Linked DNA regions of Lepisosteus oculatus. The protein of the gene in region 1 interacts with the protein of each later gene in a pairwise test. Links are inferred from orthologs where the notes say so. Each region holds a gene or a part of one and is shown on either strand. Other genes may lie near its edges.

The links.
Region 2: the proteins of mid2 (region 1) and syt17 interact in binary tests that used the Homo sapiens proteins (3 or more experiments, as listed by UniProt). The two-hybrid records come from large-scale screens. The link is inferred for Lepisosteus oculatus from reciprocal best matches to the Homo sapiens genes MID2 and SYT17.
Region 3: the proteins of mid2 (region 1) and unc45a interact in binary tests that used the Homo sapiens proteins (3 or more experiments, as listed by UniProt). The two-hybrid records come from large-scale screens. The link is inferred for Lepisosteus oculatus from reciprocal best matches to the Homo sapiens genes MID2 and UNC45A.

The regions. Positions count from the first base shown.
Region 1 is NC_090703.1:28,285,506-28,292,731, forward strand, and holds the start of mid2 (probable E3 ubiquitin-protein ligase MID2), read right to left. Parts: upstream 3,019-7,226; 5' UTR 2,733-3,018; exon of another isoform or gene 2,729-2,732; intron 1-2,728. UniProt on the Homo sapiens protein: E3 ubiquitin ligase that plays a role in microtubule stabilization. Mediates the 'Lys-48'-linked polyubiquitination of LRRK2 to drive its localization to microtubules and its proteasomal degradation in neurons.
Region 2 is NC_090714.1:15,302,977-15,310,613, forward strand, and holds the start of syt17 (synaptotagmin-17), read right to left. Parts: upstream 3,010-7,637; 5' UTR 2,738-3,009; intron 1,952-2,737; exon of another isoform or gene 1,805-1,951; 5' UTR 1,736-1,804; coding exon 1,721-1,735; intron 1-1,720. UniProt on the Homo sapiens protein: Plays a role in dendrite formation by melanocytes.
Region 3 is NC_090700.1:60,912,226-60,920,108, reverse strand, and holds the start of unc45a (protein unc-45 homolog A), read right to left. Parts: upstream 3,010-7,883; 5' UTR 2,818-3,009; coding exon 2,794-2,817; intron 1,844-2,793; coding exon 1,651-1,843; intron 1,478-1,650; coding exon 1,302-1,477; intron 946-1,301; coding exon 856-945; intron 424-855; coding exon 256-423; intron 1-255.

The DNA of each region.
Region 1 (7,226 bases):
TTGGACCCTTCCACATCCTTTCCCAGATCACCCCTGTCACCTATCGTCTTGCCCTCCCTCCAACTGTCAGGGTGCATCCCTCCTTCCACGTTTCTCTCTTGAAACCCTACCACAGATCTCCCCTCTCCCAACCTCGACCTCCTCCACAAATCATTGACGGCCTACGTTCTTACACAGTTAACAAGATCCTGGATACCCACTGGCTCCGGGGCCGAGGGCAGTTTCTTGTCGACTGGGAGGGCTATAGCCCTGAGGAGCGTTCATGGGTTTACGAGGGAGATATTTTGGATCATGGCCTCATTGATGACTTCTTCCATGAACGCTCAATGGGGTCATCAGGAGCCGACCCTAAAAGGGGATACTGTCACATCCCGCACTCGCCCTCGCAAACCCCACTACATTCCCAAACGCACTGTTTCATGCTCTCACTCCTAACTGAACCAATCACATTCTCACAGGCACCAGATTCCACAGATTCTCACTCCTGAACCCATTACACAACCATGTTCCTCTCCCTTCAGTATTTAAAGTTCCTTCACCAAACCCCGCTCACTATTGTAAGGCCTCTTAAGTTTTCTAGTGCACGGTATTTTCTTGTTGGCTTACTCGGCTTTTGGATTTGACTTTTCCCTTTTGATCTCACTTTTTGGATTACGATTTTGGATTGTTTACCTCTTAAACCGGCAGAGCTCACAGCTATGCATAGGATCCTCGGACAACTACCTGCTCCGAGACACCCTGACAGAAAAGCATTCATAACTTACTATTCACAATCAGCTTCCTGAGTGCAGACATTCCTGCCATACTCTTTCCCAGAGTCTTCTACAGCTATTAGCTTTAAAAAAAAAACATCCTCCAAATGCTGCTTAAATGCGTGCTTTGCCTAAGATTCTCCATTTGTTATTTTTTAGTCTTGTTTTATTTCATCAACATCTTTATTCTTAAAAGCAAGCTTCCTCATATTTGTGGCATGTTAATGTCTTTTGTTATATAAGTCTTATTATTTGGACAGACCTTTATCTTCCTTGTTGGAATAATTTATTGCACAGAAAAAAACAGGCACTCGGTAGTAACCATTATGTCATTAATAGCTTTAAATTTTTAAATAAAAAATAAAGGTCTTCTTATTCAAGAAACATTTGTTTCAAAAAATTAATATTAATGGAATTCAGAATCTGGATGGTTCCAGATATTTTCAGCATTGTTTCCATCTCCATTTACACATATTTTTTAAATACCCATCATTCCATAGAAAATAACTATTTCTACATTAGGATATTTCATAGAAAATATATTTATGAACATGCAATTTGAGTAAGAATATTATTTTTTTCTGTATATGATTTTTTTATTCAAAAGGTTAACTTTTTCATGTTTTTTTGTTTCCCTTGTCATTCATTAGAAAAGAACAATCAATCAATCAATTTTTTATTTAGTTAGGATTTTCTAAGTATTGGAATACTTAATAGCAAAGATAATCATGGTTTTATTTCTGTTAAGGCTTATAGCCTATTAAATTATTTTTTCCCCATTATAGTCTATGGTCATTCAATTTTGTTATTCGTTTTAGTATGTCACTCGTTTAAAATGTTTCGATCTCAAGTTGATCATGATGAACTAATTCAAGTACTGATTTTTCTTAATGTTTAATCTTTATTAAAGTCCTTAACAATTAAACACTTAACCTCCAGAAACTTGTTACGGGAACAAAATGAACCAATTTATTTTACCACAAATGTTAACAAGATCATTGCCGTCTTATAACGTTATTCGATTATTAAATAAAAATTAATTACATAAAATCTAAAGGGTGTTTTAAAAGGAAAAATATGAAAACCGAGACCGCGTCAAGAGTGAATGCTAAATATAAAATGTTCACAATATCATACAGCCATTATTGTAATTGTCACACGAAAACACTGATACTGTATGTTTATATAATTTACTTTACATCGGTGTAATCACTGACAGAAATCTGCAAGTCTTTTCTGGGAGGAAATAAATATATGTATCCTTTGCCATTACCTTTATAATGAAGTGAACAAAACACCAGCGACATCATTTTCAAAAACCGTAGCTTTGATACTACAATTTCTCAGAGGCACAAAGGTGGAACACATCTGGGCGTACAGGCGATTACAGAAAATCTACACCAACACAATCACCTCGTCTCATGATAAAGCCGTGCATTTGCCTTAAAACCCACCTACACCCAGCAGTTTTTTTCAGTTATTATTTATAAACGTGAACAAGTTACTATAATTCTATTTTCGTGCAGTTAAATGTTAACATTTAGAAGTGCTAAACATTAAACATCGCTAAGGAAAAAGACATTGCAAACCAACCCAAAAAATAATTTACATTGTTACCAGTCCTATAGACACCCAAAATCTAGAAAATTATCGACAGAATGCATTACAGAATGAAAGAAAAAGTTCAGTAAATGTAAGTCTGTCTTCAGGTAATCAAGCAATGCTTGGCATTTTTATAGTACATGCTATATATCGTATATATAGTACATAATATATGATTATTTTCCTCGTATATTATCAGAACCGAAATATGCTTTGAATTGCTCCAGTATTTGGTATACTCTTTCACTGGTTACGCAGTCATCTAAACGTCTGGCTTTGCTTCACTCTCTCTTGGCTTTTCTCAGGAAAAGAGTGTTGACACGAACCAGAAACACTAAGAAGAGACACACACTGAAGGGAGGGCTAACAGTCACCTACCAGCTTACTATGCCAAACAATCCTTTCCCCTGTCATCTTTGAAGCCTGGAGAAAAACGCAGTGAAGGAGAGCTCCTAGCCAGGAAGGAAAGCAACACAAACGCAGTCTCCGTGTGGCGTAGCAAGAACAAATCTGACTGCTGATCTGCTGGTTAGCAGCACAAACACTGGCTGCTCAGTGAAAAGGCTAAGGTTTTGAATATGCAACTTCAGAGAAAAAAAAAGAGACAGACAATCGCAGGAAACCGGCTCCTCCCACCCATGCAAAAGGAAAAGCAAAGGCGACAGAGCTGGCGCATAAGCTGCTCTACTCTCCGAAGAGGGAAGGATGGAAGTCCTATCCCCTTCATAAATGTAAATGTCAGGTTGTTAAAGACTCAAAAGTTAATTAGTAATGGAGAATTATGAGCAAAGAATACACCATTCGTAATATTCAGAATAATGAAAGCTATAACTAGTCGTCTTTCGTGAACAACCATTTAGACTACGTTAAAAACACGACTCAACGACATTAAAAATAACCGGGAAAAATAATTACAATGAAGGTCATCTATTAGTAAAACTGACATATATTCAAAACAGTGATGTATGAACTCTAACAATTATTTGCACACAGTGCTTGGTTTCATCGCATTGCAAAACGCAGTTGGATGCAAAACGAATGCATTGCAAAACAATGCTAATCAGATAACCTTTGTTTTATTCAAACCTTCACAAAAGTAAGTGTTCTATAGGGCCAGAACTTACTCAGGGTTTCTGTAGTGGTAAGCAGGCTGAAGAGCAAAAGAATGCCCCGGTTTAGTCCTAAACCTACAATGCACAACCCCCCAGTAAATATAAGAGCTATTCATTCATGCTGCTGGATCAAGTGAAACAATCACAGTACCTTGAATTATTAGTGTACAGTACATAACAGTACTGCAATAGTTATTATTGTGGCAGCCTCGCCCGGTGGTGAGGAGGAAGTGCTCCCAGTTACTGAGGATATCACAGCACTGGCTGGGAGCTGTAGCCGGGAATTGTCGTAAGATGACCAGCAAATGATCCTGCTATTTAAATAGACATGTGTTAACTAAAGTGTTCTCTGAAGTTTAGTGTTCCATAAGTTAATTGTGTAGAGTCCGTTAAAGAGTTACCACCCTAACCTGTGTATGTGTACCATCAGTCCCCTAATGTGTGTGTGTAAATCCTAGTTTTTGGTTTTTATTGTGAAAAAAAAATAAAAGTAGGTGCTTGTGTGCCTACACCATCTCCTCTTGTCCTTTATCCTGAGTGAACCTGTAGTCGTTACAATTGGTGTCAGAAGCGAGCAGGATGGACAACCCGTGGCAGATGTAAGCAGACTCTGTCAAGCGCCAGCAGACCCTAAAAGAGACCGGACCCAGCATCAGCGAACACCTGGAGCCTGAGCAACTCCTGGGTGCAACGGTTGGCCACAGCCCTTGCAAGGGCTGCCCAGTAGTGGCCCCGCCTGGGGAAGCGGAGTGAATCCCCACTACTCCTGTCCAGCAGACACTGCAGAGAGGGGATGCGCTTTCCTCAGGGGCTGGCCAGCTGTTCCTGCACCTTCCGGTGTGGGTACAACCCAGTCGCTTTGATGGGGAAGCGTCATGGGAGACGTATGAGGCACAGTTCCAGCTTGCGGGCCGAGACGGAGCTGGCGGCGGCGCTGGAAAGAGCAGCCTGCCAGGTGCTCCTGGATTTCCCAGAGAAGGAGGGGGGTTGACTATGCAACGCTCTCCAGCTACGCTTCGGGGTGGAGGAGGCACCGGACCTGATACAGGAGAGGCTGACCCTGTGGCGGCGCTGACTGGGAAAGCAAGTGGGCTCGGTCGTAGCTGATGTCTTCTTCCTCACCTGCCGAGGATACCCAGCATTCCCCCGGGAGACGCAGCTGGAAATGGCTCTCCAGGCCTTTCTCAAGGCCCTCTTACCCGAAAAGCTGCAGCCCCACTTACAGCTGGCCGTGTTCGGTGGGGCTGGCAGCACCAGCAGATGGAGTGTGCCCTGCTGGCTTACCGAGGCAGCGACAGAGGAGTCCAGTGAGGGGGAAGAGGAGCCAGCTCGTGCAGTAACCCCCGCAGAGCAGCCCCGCAGCTGTTTTGTCGATACTGTGTGAAGAGGGGACACCGGGCCCCAGAGCTTTGCACTCCGAGGTCGGCGTCAGGAAATGGGAGCAGGATAGCTCAGCATAGGGACGGCCACCCCTGAAGACCTCAACCCCCGATTCAGAGAGCACCGCGAAGACTGGTGCCCCGTACACCACCATGGGGCATGTAGAATGAAGCTGGGGCCTGTACCTCCACTGCCAGATCGAGGACCAGCACTGCCTGGCCCTGCTTTACACCAGTTCATCGGTAACCCTACCCCGGCCTGGCATCTTCCCCGACACCGAGGGCACCAATCCCCCAGGATGGGAGGCCACCGACCTGCGGCTGAGGACCATGACAGGACAGCTTGCCGCGATCCGGGGCAAACAGACACTCTCCATCCGTCTGGGTGCAGCGACAGTGTGCCCCCCTTGCTACCTAGCACCCATTCAAGAGGACTGCATCCTGGGGTTGGACCTGCTGCAGCAAGTGGGGGCCCCCCTCCAACAACACCAGGTGGGGGCTCCGATAAAGCGAGTAGGGGTGGATATTTTGGGCCCGTTTCCATGCACTGAGTGCGAGAACTGCTACGTCCTGGTGAAAGTGGACTATTCACCAAGAGGCCTAAGGCCTATGCCTTCCCAGACCAAAGTGCCCCTACGGTTGCCGATGTTTCACTGGAGGGATGTTTGCCAGGCTGGGGGTACCAGAGGAGTTATACAGTGACCAGGGGTGTAACTTTCCTAGTCCTAGGTCTTTGCCAGGGTGTGCCAGCACCTGGGGATCTCTATGACACAGACCACCCCACTGCATCCCCAGAGTGATGTGCTGCTGGAGCGGTTCAACTGGATGCTTGCCACCCAGCTGGTCACCCTGGTGTCCCAGCATCAGTAGGAATGGGACCGCCACCTCCCCCTTGTGCTCTAGTCGTACCGGACTGCGGTCCAGAAATCTACCTGGTGCACCATGGCCTCGCTCATGCTGGGCCAGGAGATGTGATCTGGCCTTTGATTCCCCCGCCCTGAGATGGGCTAGCACTGCCGGCCAGACCGATGTGGGACCTGCAGCAGTGGATGTGGCGAGTGCACAGCTTTGCTCGAACTCACCTGACTCAGGCAGGGATCTGGCAAAAGTGGCACTACGATCTGCTCTGCAGGGGGCCTGCCTTCCAGTCCGGGGTGGCACTGTCCTGGGAGTGACCCGCTGAGATCCTAGGGGTAGTGGGCAAGGTTTGTCACCGTGTCCGGTTGCGAAAGCGGGGGAGAGTGGTGGTCCTACACCGAGACCACCTGGTACCCTACTAGGTCGGCAGGGAGGCTGACTATGGGGAATCCGCTCTGCGGTGCAGCGGCCGCTCACACAGGGTTCCACAGCCATTAGCTGACTATGAGTACAGCCTGGTATGAGTCAAGTGGGGGAAGTGTAGCGCCCTTGCCCGGTGGTGAGGAGGAAGTGCACCAAGTTGCTGAGGGTATTGCCTCACCAGCTGGGAGTTGTAGCCAGGGGATGTCTGGGGGTCCATAAGATGACCAGCAACTGACCCTGCTATGTGAATAGACCTGCGTTAGCTAACGTGTTCTCTGAAGCTTAGTGTTCCATAAGTTAAGTTTGTAGAGTCAGTTAAACAGTTACCACCCTAACATGTACCGTCTGTCCCCTAATCTGTATGTAAATCCTGTATTTTTGTCTTTGTTGTGTAAAAGGAAATAAAAGCAGGTGCTTGTGTGCCTACACCGTCTCCTCTTGTCATTTATCCTGAGTGAACCTGAAGTCATTACATTATCTACATGTATTTGATCCTTAAATATATTATACACATACAGTGGTGTGAAAAAGTGTTTTTTCCCACTGAAATGTTCCCACTGAAAGATCATCAAACAAATTGAAATATTAGACAAAGATAACACAAGTAAACACAAAATGCAGTTTTTAAATGAAGGTTTTTATTATTAAGGGGAAAAAAAATTCAAACCTACATGGCCCTGTCTGAAAAAGTGATTGCCCCCTAAACCTAATAACTGGTTGGGCCACCCTTAGCAGCAACAACTGCAATCAAGCGTTTGCAATAACTGGCAATGAGTCTTTTACAGTGCTGTGGAGGAATTTTGGCCCACTCATCTTTGCAGAATTGTTGTAATTCAGCCACATTGGAGGGTTTTCGAGCCTTAACCGCTTTTTTAAGGTCATGCCACAACATCTCAATCAGATTCAGGTCAGGACTTTGACTAGGCCACTCCAAAGTCTTCATTTTGTTTTCTTAAGCCATTCAGAGGTGGACTTGCTGGTGTGTTTTGGATCATCGTGCTGCTGCAGAACCCGAGTGCGCTTAAGCTTGAGGTCACGAACAGATGGCCGGACATTCTCCCTCAGGATTTTTTGGTAGACAGCAGAATTCATGGTTCCAT
Region 2 (7,637 bases), on another chromosome or scaffold:
CTCACCCACGCCCTGCGCCTCCCATCACCCCTCCACATGACACTGTTGTCGTACCCGTGCTGTCCTCATGCTGACCGGTCCTGCTGGCTGTGCCCACATGTGACGCCGTACACCTCACCTTTCGGGCCTGAATACCAGTGAGAGCCGATACTGCAGCAGGATCTGTTTCCTTGCCAGCGAGTTTCTCTTTCAATTTCCCCCATGATTTTCAAGCCTTGCTTGGAAAAACGAGTCTTCTAGATCAGCGCCAATTGTCCCATCAACCCTTCAGTCCAAATCGTTATGATATAAAGCATGATACTCAATTTACCATGAAACCCCTTTTGAAACAAACATTTAAATACAAACTGAAAGTCTTAAGGCGCTCTAAAATTAGATTTTCTTGGGCTTCTGTATAAAAAATAATACCTTTTATATTTAGGACAGATGCCGCAGCAGTTCTACCTGCGGAGTGCATGTAAAGTTAAGTGGCTACAGTTCTCATATTAGCTGGCACTATAATGTATTTATTTAGGCTGTAACATTTTCACTATCCCCAGCAGACGAAGAGCTACATGTGGCAGTGTTTTATTTTCCTGTGTCCCTGTGTACGTCTCCTCTCTCTCTCTCATCACCCTCCCCATTCCCCCCCCCGACAAGTCTGGGCTCACGGCACACAGCCTCCACAGCCCCGTCCCAATGTTGTCTTTACAATTAGCTGTAGCAGTAACCACGGTAACCACAGTAACACCAGCTGGAACGCTGACATCCCCTACTGCTCTATCAGGGCTGATAAAACAAGGGGTCAGAGTGACAGAAACAGGCTCCGTCAGGGACCGGCCAGGGCCGCCTGGTCAGGCAGCACAGCAGCTCACCGAGCCAGGCACGACACAAGAGCCACAAAACAGCATCAAACAGGGCAGACAGCTCCTGTCCCCCTTTCTAACCAGGCAAGCAGACAGAGGAGATGGTGAAAATTTAAAAAGCACGCTGCCTTCAATTCACCCAGACTGGGGTGCACACACATACACACACACAAACAACCTTGTACACAACGGGAAAATGGAGAGGCCCTGCAGTGCTTCTGTCAGCGGGAAACGGATGTTTTCCTGCACTTGGAAAACAACTCAAGCCAACAATGCTGCAACCTGTTGGCAATTCCCCGACCCACGGCGCCGCAACGCAGACCTTCTCAGTGTTGCCTCTGCTGTATGATATTGATTACAGCTGTGCCGAGATGGGGGAGATAATGACCAGGATGGAGACGCTGACATGCATGCAGAAACGTACCTCGATCATAACAGGGCAATTAAAAAATCACCCATCGCAAAGTGCCAGCAGCAAAACAAACAACAGCAAGCAGGCAGATCAATTCCTCAGCAAACACAACGGAGCTCCCTCTGCTTTTCACTCAGGAGCACCGGCACACTAACGACAACAGGCAGGGCTATAGCAGTGTCGCCCCTCCTGTGGGCTTGTTTTGCTACCAAACCGCATTTGGAATGAAACCTGCGAAAGGGAAGCCGACTGGGAAGGGAGGAGGTTTTTTTTTTTCCCCTAAACCCTGCCGAAAAAACGGCGCCTTTTGGGGGGCGAGGGCACTACGGAAACAGACACAGCAGGTGAGGAGTGGCTGGGTTAAAGGCTGAGCGAGCGAGGGAGCACGAGGGAAATGGTCCCAGCGCCAGCCGGATGGAGCCAGGTGACTCTGAGGCGCCGGCGTGTGGTGGTCCAGACCTACCTGGATGTACGACATCGTCGCTTCAGTCGCTCCCCGTCACCCCAGAGCCTGTCCAGGACACCATGCTGCTCCTCTGCTCCCTACCTTGTCCTCAGAAAGAGAGGGAAAATAAAAGCACCAACAACAGCAAGCGCCTGTCGCGACTCGTGAGAGTGATTTATCTCTCCTCAGCCCGGGAGCACCTCTCCATCCTTACACAATCCATTCCAAGAGTGACAAGCCCCCCCAACACACACACACCTCCCCTACCCCCCCCCTCCTTTCCCTCTCTCTCCCTCCCTCCCCCTCCTCTCTCCTCCATCCCCATCCCCACCCACAAGCCTCTCTCTCTCTCTCCCCGGCTCCGGCTCCTGCCTGCTCCAGCCTTGCCCAGTCCTCGCAACTGAAGCACTTTCTCCAGCACTGCGCTCACACACAAATCCTTCCCCCCGCCTGCCCCTTGTTCTGCCATGTTCGCTTTATGATTCATTCAAGTTGCTGGAACACAGGCAATGTTGAAAACATGCAGGCCTTATTACATGGTTTTATTTAACACTGGGCATTTTGACCCAGTCTTAGCTGTGACCTTTCAGCTGCTTTCTCCTTGACTGGGAGTGGGGCTTCATTCGCTGGCTGCCTGAGTGACAGAGCACCCTAATATCCTGTGTGCCACAGTGAGTCCGGACTGGGGTTCGCTCTGCTGGCTTCCCAAGCTGACTGTAGGTGCGGGGGAGTGGGGTGCCGGTGGTGCAGAAATGGGGTGCACGCTTGCTCGTTTGCTAAGGGGCTGTAGGTTGGACTGCTCGGTCCTCGCCGCGGGGGCCAAAAGTTCGTTGTCATGGAAACTATTTCCCCCGAGCCGTCCCGGTCGCTACGAGAGGAGCTGACCGACCTAAACCCCGGCACGCAGAAGTTTTTGACGGCGATGTTAACTTAATGTCCAGTTTACACTTCTGCATACCCCACACAGCTAAGGTTTTGTTATTCCAACGAATTAATGCCTGAATTGATCAATCAGTCGTATCGATTAATACTCACCCGTCAGGACAGATCGCGTACATTTTTTCCAAATCCGCCTGCTTACCAGCTACGCCTATACCACCAGACTATACAACCAACCACCATTCACATCATTTGCAGCGCTCCAAAAATCAATAGCATGAACAGAATGCCGATTATAAAATCAACTTGGAATGTGCGTTGTGCATAGCATTTGTACATATATAATTCTCATACCGTACCCTAATTGTAAGTTAATACAAGAATATATTTTTTACTGGAAAGCATACAAGACGTTAAAGTACCCCTGAGCGACAATTCTCTAATCCGCTGAAAAAACAACAGGCTGCTTTAAGAAATAAATGGAGACTTCAGACGGAGCAGTCCTACAGCGACTCCTGGTGTAAATAGGAGACATGGTTAATAAAAATCGAATCGGGCTGTGGATGAGGATGAATTTTAAACCATGCATCCTATTAAATGGCACAAAACCCCACACTGACTGAGCAGGGATTAAAAAAAAACCCAACATTTCATGACCGGAGTGTAATTTGTCTTACCTTTGAACAAAGTTGCAGTAAATGCTCTTCGGTTTCTAAGAACCCATGGAGCGTGTTTTCTTCCTGGAGCTCACTGAACCGGGGTTCACTTCCTGCAGGTTTTTTGATGAAAACCAGCTTCACCAACATGGCTGGGCACCTTGTTCCAGACCCCCACAACCCTTGGTGTAAAACAGTGCCCCTCATTCTCAATTTTAAATGCGCTTGGCCATAATGAAGCTCATTTAACTGATGTTATACTAGTCCCCAAGAAACAAACAATAAGAAAACAATAGCATTTCAATGCAATTGTGTTACTTCTTATCAGCTGAACAAACACTTTGCATGCAGCCTCCCCTGGCTTGAAGAAATCACATATACAGGTGACTCCTTTTTCACCCCATTGCCCCTGTTCCTCAGGCGACTCCTGTGTAGAGAGACACAACAAGGGAGACATGACAACGAACATGCCGAGCTCTCCAGCAGCGTCACAGACAACTGTCCATCACCTTCCTGCCCCTTCAGAGCTGTCTGACTGGATACTCAGTCCACTTTCCCCTCAGTGCAGTGATGTCAGTCCAGTCAAGTGAAGACTTTCCAGTGCAGTGATGTCAGTCCAGTCAAGGAAGACCCATGCATGACTGGGCACTCTTGCTCCTACTGGGCCAGTGCATTTGCAGGTTTTCATTCCAGCCTCATCTCTTAACAACCTAAATCAGCTCAATACTGGCTCATTACTGGACCATTCTACCAACTGCTCCCAGCTCTTAAGATGCTGCTGCTTTAGAGAGACCTGGAAAACATGCAGACACACCAGTCCTCCAGGACCAGGTCTGTCCACCCCTTGTGTAGCGCATAATGACTGTCCAGGTCTGTGTGGTAATTACAGTCCAATCCAGTAATCCAGTCCAGTGTATTTAAGACAGTCCAATCTAGTAATGACCATACACTCCATTAATGACAGTCTGGTCAAGTCAGTCTAGTGCATAATGATAGTGCAGTTCAATGTGCTAATTGCAAGCCAATCCAGTAATGACAGTACAGTAATGATAGTCCAGTCAACACAGTCTAGTGTGTACAGACAGTCCACTTCAGTGTGGTAATTTCAGTCCAATCTAGTAATACAGTGCATTGCATTCAAGATCTAGTGACAACTACAGCCCAATAATGACAATCCAGTCAAGAGAGTCTAGTTCAGTTCAGTAATAGCAGTCCAATCTGGTAAAGACAGACCAGTCGAATCACGAGTTCCTACAGAAGGGCACTGCCACAGCTTCCTGGGTGCAGCCCAGCTGAGTTAACCTCAGAGAACTCATGGGCTTGCCACCACAGCTAGTGCTCATACATGGAAGGAGATGTAGAAATCCCCAGAGAACATTGCACGGTGCTTGTTATTGTGTAATGCTTTTAACATGTACTCAGAAAGCAAACATTGCGATACTGCCCCCAAGCAAAATTCTGTAAATTAAGACAAAGGGAATGTGGCTTTTGGAATGCATTTATTATGGGTTTTTTTAAATGTGCAATGCTCCTATACATAAATACATATGCATTATTAAACAGAAAGTGCCCAGACATTTTTTCTCAACAGCTGGCAAAACAAAATGTAAAACCCAGCCTAAACTGGAATGCACAAAACAGACACAATAACACTGTCCTGAAAACAGCTTCTGTCAAAAATCCTTCACAAAACTGGACTTAGCTGCAGTCGAGATAGCTGGGCTTTGACATTATGAGGACTCACAGGCACAGAGGACTGGATCCTGCTGGGCCTCTTGAACCCAGCACCTGCTTGAGGAAGACAACATGCAGCCAGTTCAATAAAACATTTGCTCAATGAAGCCACCAGTAACACAAGGTGGGACAGAGAGCGCTGCACCTCTGCAGAAGTGGATCCCAGCCTGCTGCGACTGAGGCGTAACTGCTTCGGCTGCCTTTGGTATATGTTTGTGTTGCCACCCTGCACTTACAACTATAAAAAAAAATAAATTAAAAAAAATAAATAAACGCGACGTGTAGCAGAACCCTTGTAAGTTCCATCTCCATAATGTCGACAAATAAAAAAAGAAATAAAACATTTTTTAATATAAAAATAAGAGTGAACCCAGACATGAGAATCCTTCAGTCAGAATGTTTCCTTTGTTTTTTTCAAGTCTTTGATCGCCATGTGGCCAGTGAAGCTCTCGTGATGTGGCACATAATGGGCAGACCACTGCAGCCAGGCACATTAACACTGCTCGTGTCACACAGGCTGCTTAGACTAGAATTCTGCAGCATTAGCCATAATTTGGTAATCATCTTTAAATTTGCATTGCAATCTCTCGAATGTACCATGTGCCTCCATCGAAGAGCGCTAATGCTTCCTTATGCAGTATATAAACACCTATAGATTTCTCTCGGCTCTGATATCTGTGTAACGCAACTTTCAGAAAGAATGTATTAGTATTGGTGAGTCTCCTTTGAAGTCTGGCTTAGCTACAGATCATGAATGTGTTTGCATTTTTCTCTTTAGGTTTCATACATGCTGGTGGAGGGAAATGCCAGACCCAAGGGGGAACTAAGTATTGTTGCTATTGCTGGAAAGGAATTAGAATATAAGGACACAAAAAGAAGGTTACAGATGACAAGAGGCAATTTGGCTGATCTAATCAGTCCAAGGATCCTGAAAGAAGCCAAGATAATAGCTTCAACCACACGGCTGGGTAGTTCGTTCTGAAGGCAGGCTGGCTGCACTTGATTTTAAATGCGCAATGAGCAATGCTCTGTGCACTGCTTACACATACTATAGTTTCTACTGGTGTGGAAACATTTTAAGGAAAAGGACATTTCTAGAGAGAAATGAGCTAGGTCAAGCAACAATGCGTTATAGAACGATTGTCTATTTTCTGTCTCAAATTCTGAATTAAGATTCAAACTCCATGCTGCTCCATCAGTGTGTGTTGTGCAGGTCCCCCACACTGCAACATTTGCAACTGGGGAATTTCCAGAACTGTCTTGAAAACAGAGTTCCTGTTTGTGGGCCTCAGTCCTAAACATTTTAACCCTTTGTCTGCTCAAGCAGTAGCTTTAGACATGTTCACCAAAAGAGGCCAGTTTCTTGTATGGGAGAATAAGGACGCCATATTTTCTCAGTGTTCAGTGAAGATTCAGCTAGAGGAACCTGCAGTTAATATGTTTTTTGTCCTAAATTCTGTTCTCCAAGAGGAACAACTGAATGGAATTAACTGAAATTCCAGTCCAGTCAGCTTTGCTCCTAGGAGCATTTTGCTGTTTATCAGCCTTCTGTGGATAATCCCTGGAGGCATGGGTTCAAATCCCACTCAGGTCAGAGGCCAGATGCCAGAGGTCAGAAGAGTTTGGTTACTGCGGTCATCCCATTTGCCCCATGTGGCCAACTTTCCTCCAGGTGGCTCTTCTTACCAAAACTTAACTGAAACACATGGGACTTCAGCTGCTATTTCTTCACTGTAAAGGAACTTCAGTTTAAATGCACATGAACCACACCAGACTGAGCCTTATAGCTGATACTCAAGGAAAGTGCAAATGCACAGCTTATAGTACTGAACAGAAAATGTGTTTGTCCCTCTCTTAGAAAGCTTTATCACAGCATTAGAATGCCTGTTTCAGTTGAAGTCTGAAGTTGCACCCAGATACAGGCCTATGAGTTACTTGCACAACGTGACTCACTGGAAATGGTTGATCTGCTATTAACTCCTTGAAGGCAGAAGGGAAAACAGCACAATCATGAGGCTGAGGGACCATCGAGGAGAACTTCAGACACAACAGAAGAAGCTGGGAGAGGTTCGCTCATCTTGTGGAATTGCTCTCTCTGGCCAGCCGTCAGCCAGACTCCCACAATGGGCCTCTTGATGCTGACAGTGGGAGGAGAGACTGATATTGGTCTTGAGAGCCTTTTTGCTGTCAGCACATGACCGGGTGATTCAGTGATTCATACCAGCAAACTAGAATACAGAATGACTATTCATCATTTTAAAACTAGGGTTGCTGAAGGCACAGAGCATGACTTTCTGTTTCAGATACTTGTTTAAATATACCACTTATAATGCTAACTGCTACTATCATAGACATGATTATCTGTTAACGTTTCTCCCTTGCTCATCAGAAGAGTGCCAGTGGCAAACTTCAGGTTAATTTGAGAGTGCCATTTTTTTAAAATGTCAGCTCTCCAAGTTCCTCAGCCTGCTTCCTTTTTACTAATCTGCAAGACCAACTATGCAGCACACTAAAAAACAGCACAGCTGAAGGCATTCTGAGTTTCTCAAACACGGGCGTGGATCATGTCTTTTGGATTTAAAAGCTTTGAATCTGTCATCAGGGCATAACGGCTTATTCAAGTACATTCTGACCAGCTCAGAAGCAAGGCTAGACCTGAGTTATCA
Region 3 (7,883 bases), on another chromosome or scaffold:
CTTACCAATCATGGCCTCCTAATAATCCCCATCTCTGACCTGGCTTCATCACTCTGTCCTCCTCCCCACTGATAGCTGATGTGTGGTGAGCGTTCTGGCGCACTATGGCTGCCGTTGCATCATCCAGGTGGGGCTCCACACTGGTGGTGGTGGTGGAGGGGATCCCCATTACCTGTAAAGCACTTTGAGTGGAGTGTCCAGAAAAAGTGCTATATAAGTGTAAGCAATAATTTATTATTATTAATTATTACTCACTCTGGATTGATGCCCAGTGCACAGTCCTACGAGTGTCCTCAGAGCTGACAATGTCGTGTCTTCTTGCTTAGAGTCCAGCAGTCTCTGCAGGAGCCTCACACCATCATTGCGAAAGATCTGCTCTGCACCTGCCTCCTCCCGAGACAGCACGACTAGGTTCTGAGCCGCCTGTGCAGAAACAGGATGAGAGCTATTAGTTGTCTAACATAAAATCTGGCCCTAAGTATCTCATGTGACAAGAATACCAAAAAGTTGTCTTGTTAACTCCTCCAGTCTGAACCGCTGAAGCTCTCAATCAACTCAATCCACACTACTCTTTATGATATATCTTCGAAGATATAAAACTAAAGAGCTGCCTTTTTTAACTGACGCTTTGCAGCTTTGTATGATATAGCTCTGGTGAAAGAAAGGCATTTATCCAAAACAGGCAGAATCTAAGAGTATACATTTACTGATTTCAACATTTCATTATACATTACAAACAGGTTATGCATTCATGAATAGATCAGGATGTCTTTGTTTCAACATGAACAGCAAAGGCCACAAAAAACCTGTCCCATTTCTCTACCCAGTGATCTCTGACCTCCCCCAATACCACACCTTCTGCCTATCGGAAGGCTGTGAGGAGGAGTCCAAGAGGAGAGAGAACATCTGCTGTACGCGAGCATCTGTGGAGGAGAGCTGTAGAGCCTGTGAGCAAGACAGGAGCAAAGAGATACCAGCTTCAGTCTTAATACCCCTTCAACAGCATTTACATTTGGGAATACAATGTGAATTAAAGGGTTTATTTGAGTAGTAATAATAAGAATTGCTTACACTTATATAGTGCTTTTCTGGACACTCCACTCAAAGTGCTTTACAGATAATGGGGATCCCCTCCACCACCACCACCAGTGTGCAGCCCCACCTGGTGGATGACTGCTATAAGTTTTTTGACTAGTTAATTCTCTAGCTATTAGTCAGCCCCGTTTTTTTGTCAATTTAATTCATAAAGTGTAAACATTTTGTATGCACCATAATGGCTGATAAACCCCCATGCACGATACCTTCTGCTGGATCTGAGCTCCTAACTGCCGCAGTGACTCCTGGAAGGCCTTGTTCTTGGGCTCCATCTGTGCGCACCTCTGGACATCCAAGAAGGCCTGGTCCAAACGCCCCAGCTTCTGCAGCGCCTGTGAGCGGCGGAACCGGGCTTTCACATCCCCGGGGTCGGCGTCCAGCGCTGGCCAGAGGGAAAAGACCAAGCAGGCAGCAAGTGAAGAACAGAGCTTACCCGTCAGTACAGACTAATTTGCTCTCGCAGACTCTAGGCTGGCTCAGAAATGATTGCTTTTCAGGCCTGGTCACATCAGAAGCGCCGTGTGAAAGGCTTAGTCTTCATTTTAGAAGTTGTACCTTTTGTAGCATCGGCCTCTGCCTTGGAATAGTCCTCCAGCTTGAGGTAGCAGGCTGCCCGGTTGCGGTGCAGGACAGCACTCTCTGCCTGGCTGTCACTTAGTCTAAGGGCCCTGGTGTAGCAGGACAGGGCTCCCTGGTAATCTCCATTCTTGAACAGGCTGTTCCCATCCTCCCGCAGGGCAGCAGGGTCCTGGGACACACAAAGCAGACAGCACTGCTAAAGGACACCTACAGCACAAGACTAGACAGGGCTGGGCTTCATCAACGACCTATAGATCCTTAACCCCACCATGCTGGGGTTGGCACTACAGCAGAGCTACTCCAAGCAGGATGAATGAAAGGAACGCTGCTCGTTCTCCTCCTGGAATTGGGAGATACAGCACATGCAATCAACCGAACCGTCTTTGGGAAGAGGGAGAAAATCAGGACAATCAAAGAAAACCTGTGTGATTATTTGGAGCCCATACAAACTCCCCTGTGCCACTCATTGGCCTCTACTGTTACTTCTTTAAGAATATATTAAAAAGCCATTAACCACCCCTTAAAAACAGAGGAAGAGATCACATTTCCTTCAAATGCTATAAGGACAAACTAGGAGCAAAATCTCATTTGAAATGACATCCAGAAGAGTACTCATTTGTGCAGCTGGGCAAGTTAGCAGTACACTTCGAGATACATACGTTGCTCAACGGCTCAACAGCAGTATAACTGGGATTTGGAGCTGTAACTGGCCGCTCTGGAATCCAGAGCGCAATTTCTGTTAAGGGATTATATTTGACACCAATACCAAACTACCGAATCAAGTAATGGCAATGGCCATTAGTTATTAAAGCCATTAAATATGATAATCAAAATAAAAGCTATAGATGTTGGCTCAGGCAAATTAACAGATTGATTTGGTTAGAGTCACGGCGTCACTTGAATACGTGCGAAGTCTGTAACAAGTGAACCCAGATTAGGCGTTCTACACAGCTGAGGTATTTTACACGACTGCTTCTGCACAATGTTTCCATGGTGGGTGTTTACCTAACGGAACAGCGGAGTCTACTGATTTTTGTGTAAACCGGTAAAAACCAAACCTACAGTTACGGCAAACATAATGAATGATTTACGAAGCTAGCAGGCGAGATAAGGTTGTACCTTGTCTTTGCCGTTTACACTCATTCTCTATGATCGCACAGTTTATTGCCAAGATATCTCGCTGCCTTCGCCGAGTTTCGGACAGCTCCACGCGGCGTCTCCAAAGTTCTACTACTCTATAACCGATTTTATTTCCTCATTTCATAGCGAGCTCTACAGTTTATGTGCTATATAACCAGCGAGCACAAGACAGCTATAACCTCTCTTCCTTCCTGTTCTCTGGGAGCGGCGTGATGACGTTTCTAACGAAACCCCGCCTACTTGCACGTTCCATCGCCATAGAAGGCAGCGAGAAAGAGATGCTGTCGGACAGTGGGTTTATCTGAACCATTTTGTTCTACTAGTCTGGTTCCAGTACATTCTTTTCATGAAAAAAAAAGCTTACTGAATTACCTTTCTGGAAGTTGCACTCTAGAGAGCCAACATTTGCAAAACTGTATTATGCATGGGATATTTCAGATTTTATGCAGTGTCATGCAAATTGTGTTGAAGCAGTAAATAAATATCTATATTTAATTATATTTAAAGTTCACTTACAGTATCTTTCTTTGTAAAATTCCTCAGTGTGTTAAGAATCCGGTTTGTCTGAGAGTTTACACCTTGTTAAACCATTTTAAGTCCTTTAAATCCTAAATTGGATCAAGCCCCTTTTGTCACGAAAACGTTTGGGACAGATGATGAAAGCTCGATTATAATCTCGATTAATAAACTCTTCGAACCTTTTCAGTCAGACATTTGGCTGAGATGTAGCCCAGAAACAGCCCTTGTTAAAATATGTAACGAATTTGGGTGTCTTTTAATCCTAGATGAAAGTGAAGCTTTTGATACAGCACTCTTCCGCATCACAGTAACATTCATCTTTTTCCCACTCTTCCTTGGTTTGGCTCATATTTGGAGCCAATTAGTGAAGATGTTTTAAATCTGATGTTGTCCCACTGATGTTGTCCCACTGATGTCTGATGTTGTCCCACTACTCAATATTCAGAACTGGGAACTTCACTAATGGAGTTTGTAACGAAATGTTAGGAGAGATGAAGACAGCCAAGTTCAATCAGCCTCAGCTACCAGTAATTCATAATCAATCCTGATGTCATTTCATCACCCAAGCATGATATTATCATATTACTATAATATAGGTGAGCTCCTCCCCCCCCCAAGTTCTGCAGGGGGCACGACCTCCTCGTCCTGTGGCCAGGAGCCTGGCCCTCTGCCAAGCGGGTTGAGCCAAATCTATTCTGGCTAAAAGAGTTAAACATTACAATACACTTAATTCTCGGCTGTTGTTATTCCTCAGGAATTTTAGCGTTGTTGATTGAAGTGCACATAAGGAGTGTCGCAAAGCTTATCTTTCTTCCACTTGCATAAAATTGCTCAGTTCAGACCCATGCTCTGCTGGTGTGGTGCTGATGCCTCTATTTCATCAAGCTGAAACCGTCGTATGTACTCCCACGGCGCCATATGTGCTTCAGGATGTTGAGAATTCAGAAGCTCATCTAACCAAAAGAATTCTAATTCAGCACACACTTACTATCCTGAAACTTAAGTTCTTGTAAATTTCACTGGTTTAAGGTCTTCTAACTAAAGTATGAAGCGCTGAAAGGTCTAGCTCCAGATTATTTCAAGGATTTATTGCACTAGTATAGTCCACCCCTTATTCTAAACTCTGCTTTACACCAGCTGCATTGAAGACTATCTGTCAACACATTTTAAACTCACATAACGACCCATCTTTTCACTAAAGCCTTTAATGTACAGTATTATTTACAGTATTTCGATTCTTCATCTCACAAAATTTTCTTCCACTTTCTTTTTGCTGCTGTGATATAGTGTACACGTTCTACTGTGCAGAACTGTTTACTTGAAAGGCACTCAGAAATAATCATTATGTTTTTGTTTTATTTCTACTGCAGAGGGGTTACATACAATTTTAGCTTTCCAAAAAACAGAGTATACATGACATTATAGGTAAAAATAGAGGCTAATTCCAAACTGAAATATAAAAGAAGAACGAATCAAAAACAATATTTTAGCTGTGGAGCCTTTTTTGTATAATACTCCTCTTGTGAAAGCTTGGCACTTTCTCTACTGAAAGTGAGTGTACCACTTCAATTCTACACACATGTCCTGATTACAGGGTTCCTAATTGAGGTCTTTAAATAAAAAATATAGAGGGATGCACTTGAATTGACTGTAAACCTGATGGCTTTGACCATCATTGAAAACACTTGAATGCATGTAATTCTGAAGTATATAATGTATATAAAAAGAAGCAGGATTAAACCTCGTCTTCTGTTTTAATTTGTCTGGTAAAAATGAAAATACAAGTGAAATATATATATATATGTTTGTTTTCACAAAATACGTCTTCTTTTACCGGTGTACCTGCATTTATATATACTGTACATAGAATGCAGCAAGGGGTGGTAATCACTCCTCTGGCCACCTCACATCATCCTCTGTCCTTTTGCTGCTCACTTCAGGGTCCAGGTGAGAAAGCTCTGTATTCTGGTTGCTGCTGAAGCCTGTGTCAGAAGCCTGGCAGATCCTGTTGCCTTGGAGACAAGGAAGACTCTGCGGGTTCCTGTGCCTATGTGGAGGAGATGGGTTCCTGTTGCCATGACAACGCTGGGGCTGGTTGCCATTAGGAGCACTGAGGCTGGTGGCCCAGTTGAGGCAGGTGAAGTAGTTTCTCAGAGCTGCCGTGACAGTGAGACCTCGCTCGCGACAGAACCACAGAAAATCCACAACCATCAGAAACACGACTAGAGCTCCATAAAGCAGAACAGCTACAAGAGAGAGCGGGCGGCTGATGGGAGAAAGAAAAAAGAGGGCAGAGAGGAACCAATTTCACATCCATTCAGTACATTTCAGTACCTACCATATAATCACAAGTAGTATATATTTATGATTAGATATGCTCAGAAATACTACATGAAATTTTGTCATTGTTATACATTTTACAATTTTAAAGAATTACAATAAAGCCTCCCATTTGTATCCCACTGAGATATTTCAATCTCTTAAAACAAATTTAAAAATAATCATTTTATTTAATAATAAAAATGATTAAATATTAAGGAAGCATAAGTTAATGTTAACAAGACAGAAATAATAACACTTTATTATGGATTAATATTTCAGTTTGAATGGATATATTTCAACATCTTCTGCTTATTACACAAAATTGCAATGTCTTCCATAAAGTATTTTACCAAATGAAGGGAAATTAATTCAGCCCCAGGAATTACATCTGTTGGTGGAATAACTCAGACAGCTTGTGAATGAATTATTGAGGAATTGTGTTATCTTCCTCTCCTAGCTCAGGCAATAACAGCATTTTGAATATATCATCTAACAGGCAGGCTTTTTCCACCATTCTATGAGTGTGACAACACAGTGCAGACACTACATTTATTATTGTTTTCATATGGATAACATGTTGCGTTGTTGCTGACTCCGATTTGTACTTGGTGCAGAACAGGATCCTGTTACACTGTTTACACTTGCACAGATTTATACTACACTATAATACATATCCAATTCTCTCCTAGAAAATACGTGCTGTAATTTAAAATAAAGTAAATAATGCTGAAATTTAAAAACTGTGACTCAATTTGCTTTCTTTACAAGCAGCACGCGCTGAGGCTTGATCAGGAAGATTCTCCGTCCTTGACCAACATCAAGCAACACATAGGCTATGTTATAAAGCAGAAATAAGACACAGAGAATAAGAAGAAATGTGAGGGATGATTCAGGAACAGGTTTCTAAGCCTATGGCAGTTCAGCATCGCCACCAACCTGTGAACCATCTTTGAGGTGCTGCGCCCTGATTGGCTGACGTTCATGGTTCTCTGGAATTGTGATTGGTTGCAGCAGTCCTTGAGGGAGTGTTCTCCCCACTGACAGCAGTAAGATTGCTCTGGCGGGTCAGAAAGTCGTGGGCAGTAGAACCCTGAGTGATGAAGGCCCTGGGCGTCCCAGTATCCCTCACAGAGCATACCAGCGCTGCAGAGACACCCTGAAGAAAGAGGCATGAAAAGGTCATTAAAATCAGCAAAATAATGTGAAGAGTAAGAAGACTCAAAATAAGACAATTTGATATTGTTAAATGGTGAATTAACACAAACCGGCAATTCAGAATGAATGACATTTAAATACTGTAGCCAAAAATGTGGTTTAGCATCTCCTCCCAAACCACACAATGGCTACCGAAGTACTGGAACTATCTATCTAGCTGGGCGTAAGCAGTGTAACCAGCCTGACCAGCAACAGTGTCGCCAGAGGTCAGGCACTGAGACCCGAAACCGAACCATGGTTTGCTCTAGACATCTGACCAGATCATGTAGAATAATAAGACAGCTTGTGGAGACAACACATCTACTGTACGTAAGCATGAGTGCTTCTGAACATCTACGCCAGAAAACAGAATCTCACATCTGCACCCACCTCTCTCCAAGAGCAGCAGCAGGACATGGGTGTGAAATAGATTTGAAGACATCATATTGGAGCTCAGTCTTAGAGGTGAAATATTCTCTGCAGGCTGAGTGTAGAGCCCTTAAAATATAAAACATATGAAATAGTCCATACTGAATTCTCACATATACTATACTTGCACTTATCTAGTGTGATAATCACATAATACACATTTTAGGCATCCACCAAGTGTGTTTTTGGTTGCAGTGGTGCAGGAGAGCATACCTTTATCTCTCCTTTGAAGTTTACACCTGGTTAATTTTTACATTGCAGTTGGAGCTCTGGTGAACACTGGGAGGCTGTGTTGAAAGGAATTAAATAACATATTGTTGTAGAATTTGGATGCAGCTAACTAAACAATGCTCAGTGTTAACTGAATGAATGCAGGACAAATTAAGTTTTAATGGAAGAGCGACATTAGTGACACAAGTCATAACTGATACCTTTTGTGGCTAATAAAATACAAATTCAGAAATGCACATTTCATTAGGATTTCAGCTGGAACATAAAAGAAGAAATCCCACTGGATTCAAAGGTAAATAAAAAAGTTTTATGCAAGGAAGATTAAGGCAATGCCTTACCTACCGCAGGGCTGCTTCCTCGCTGCACTAGGGTCA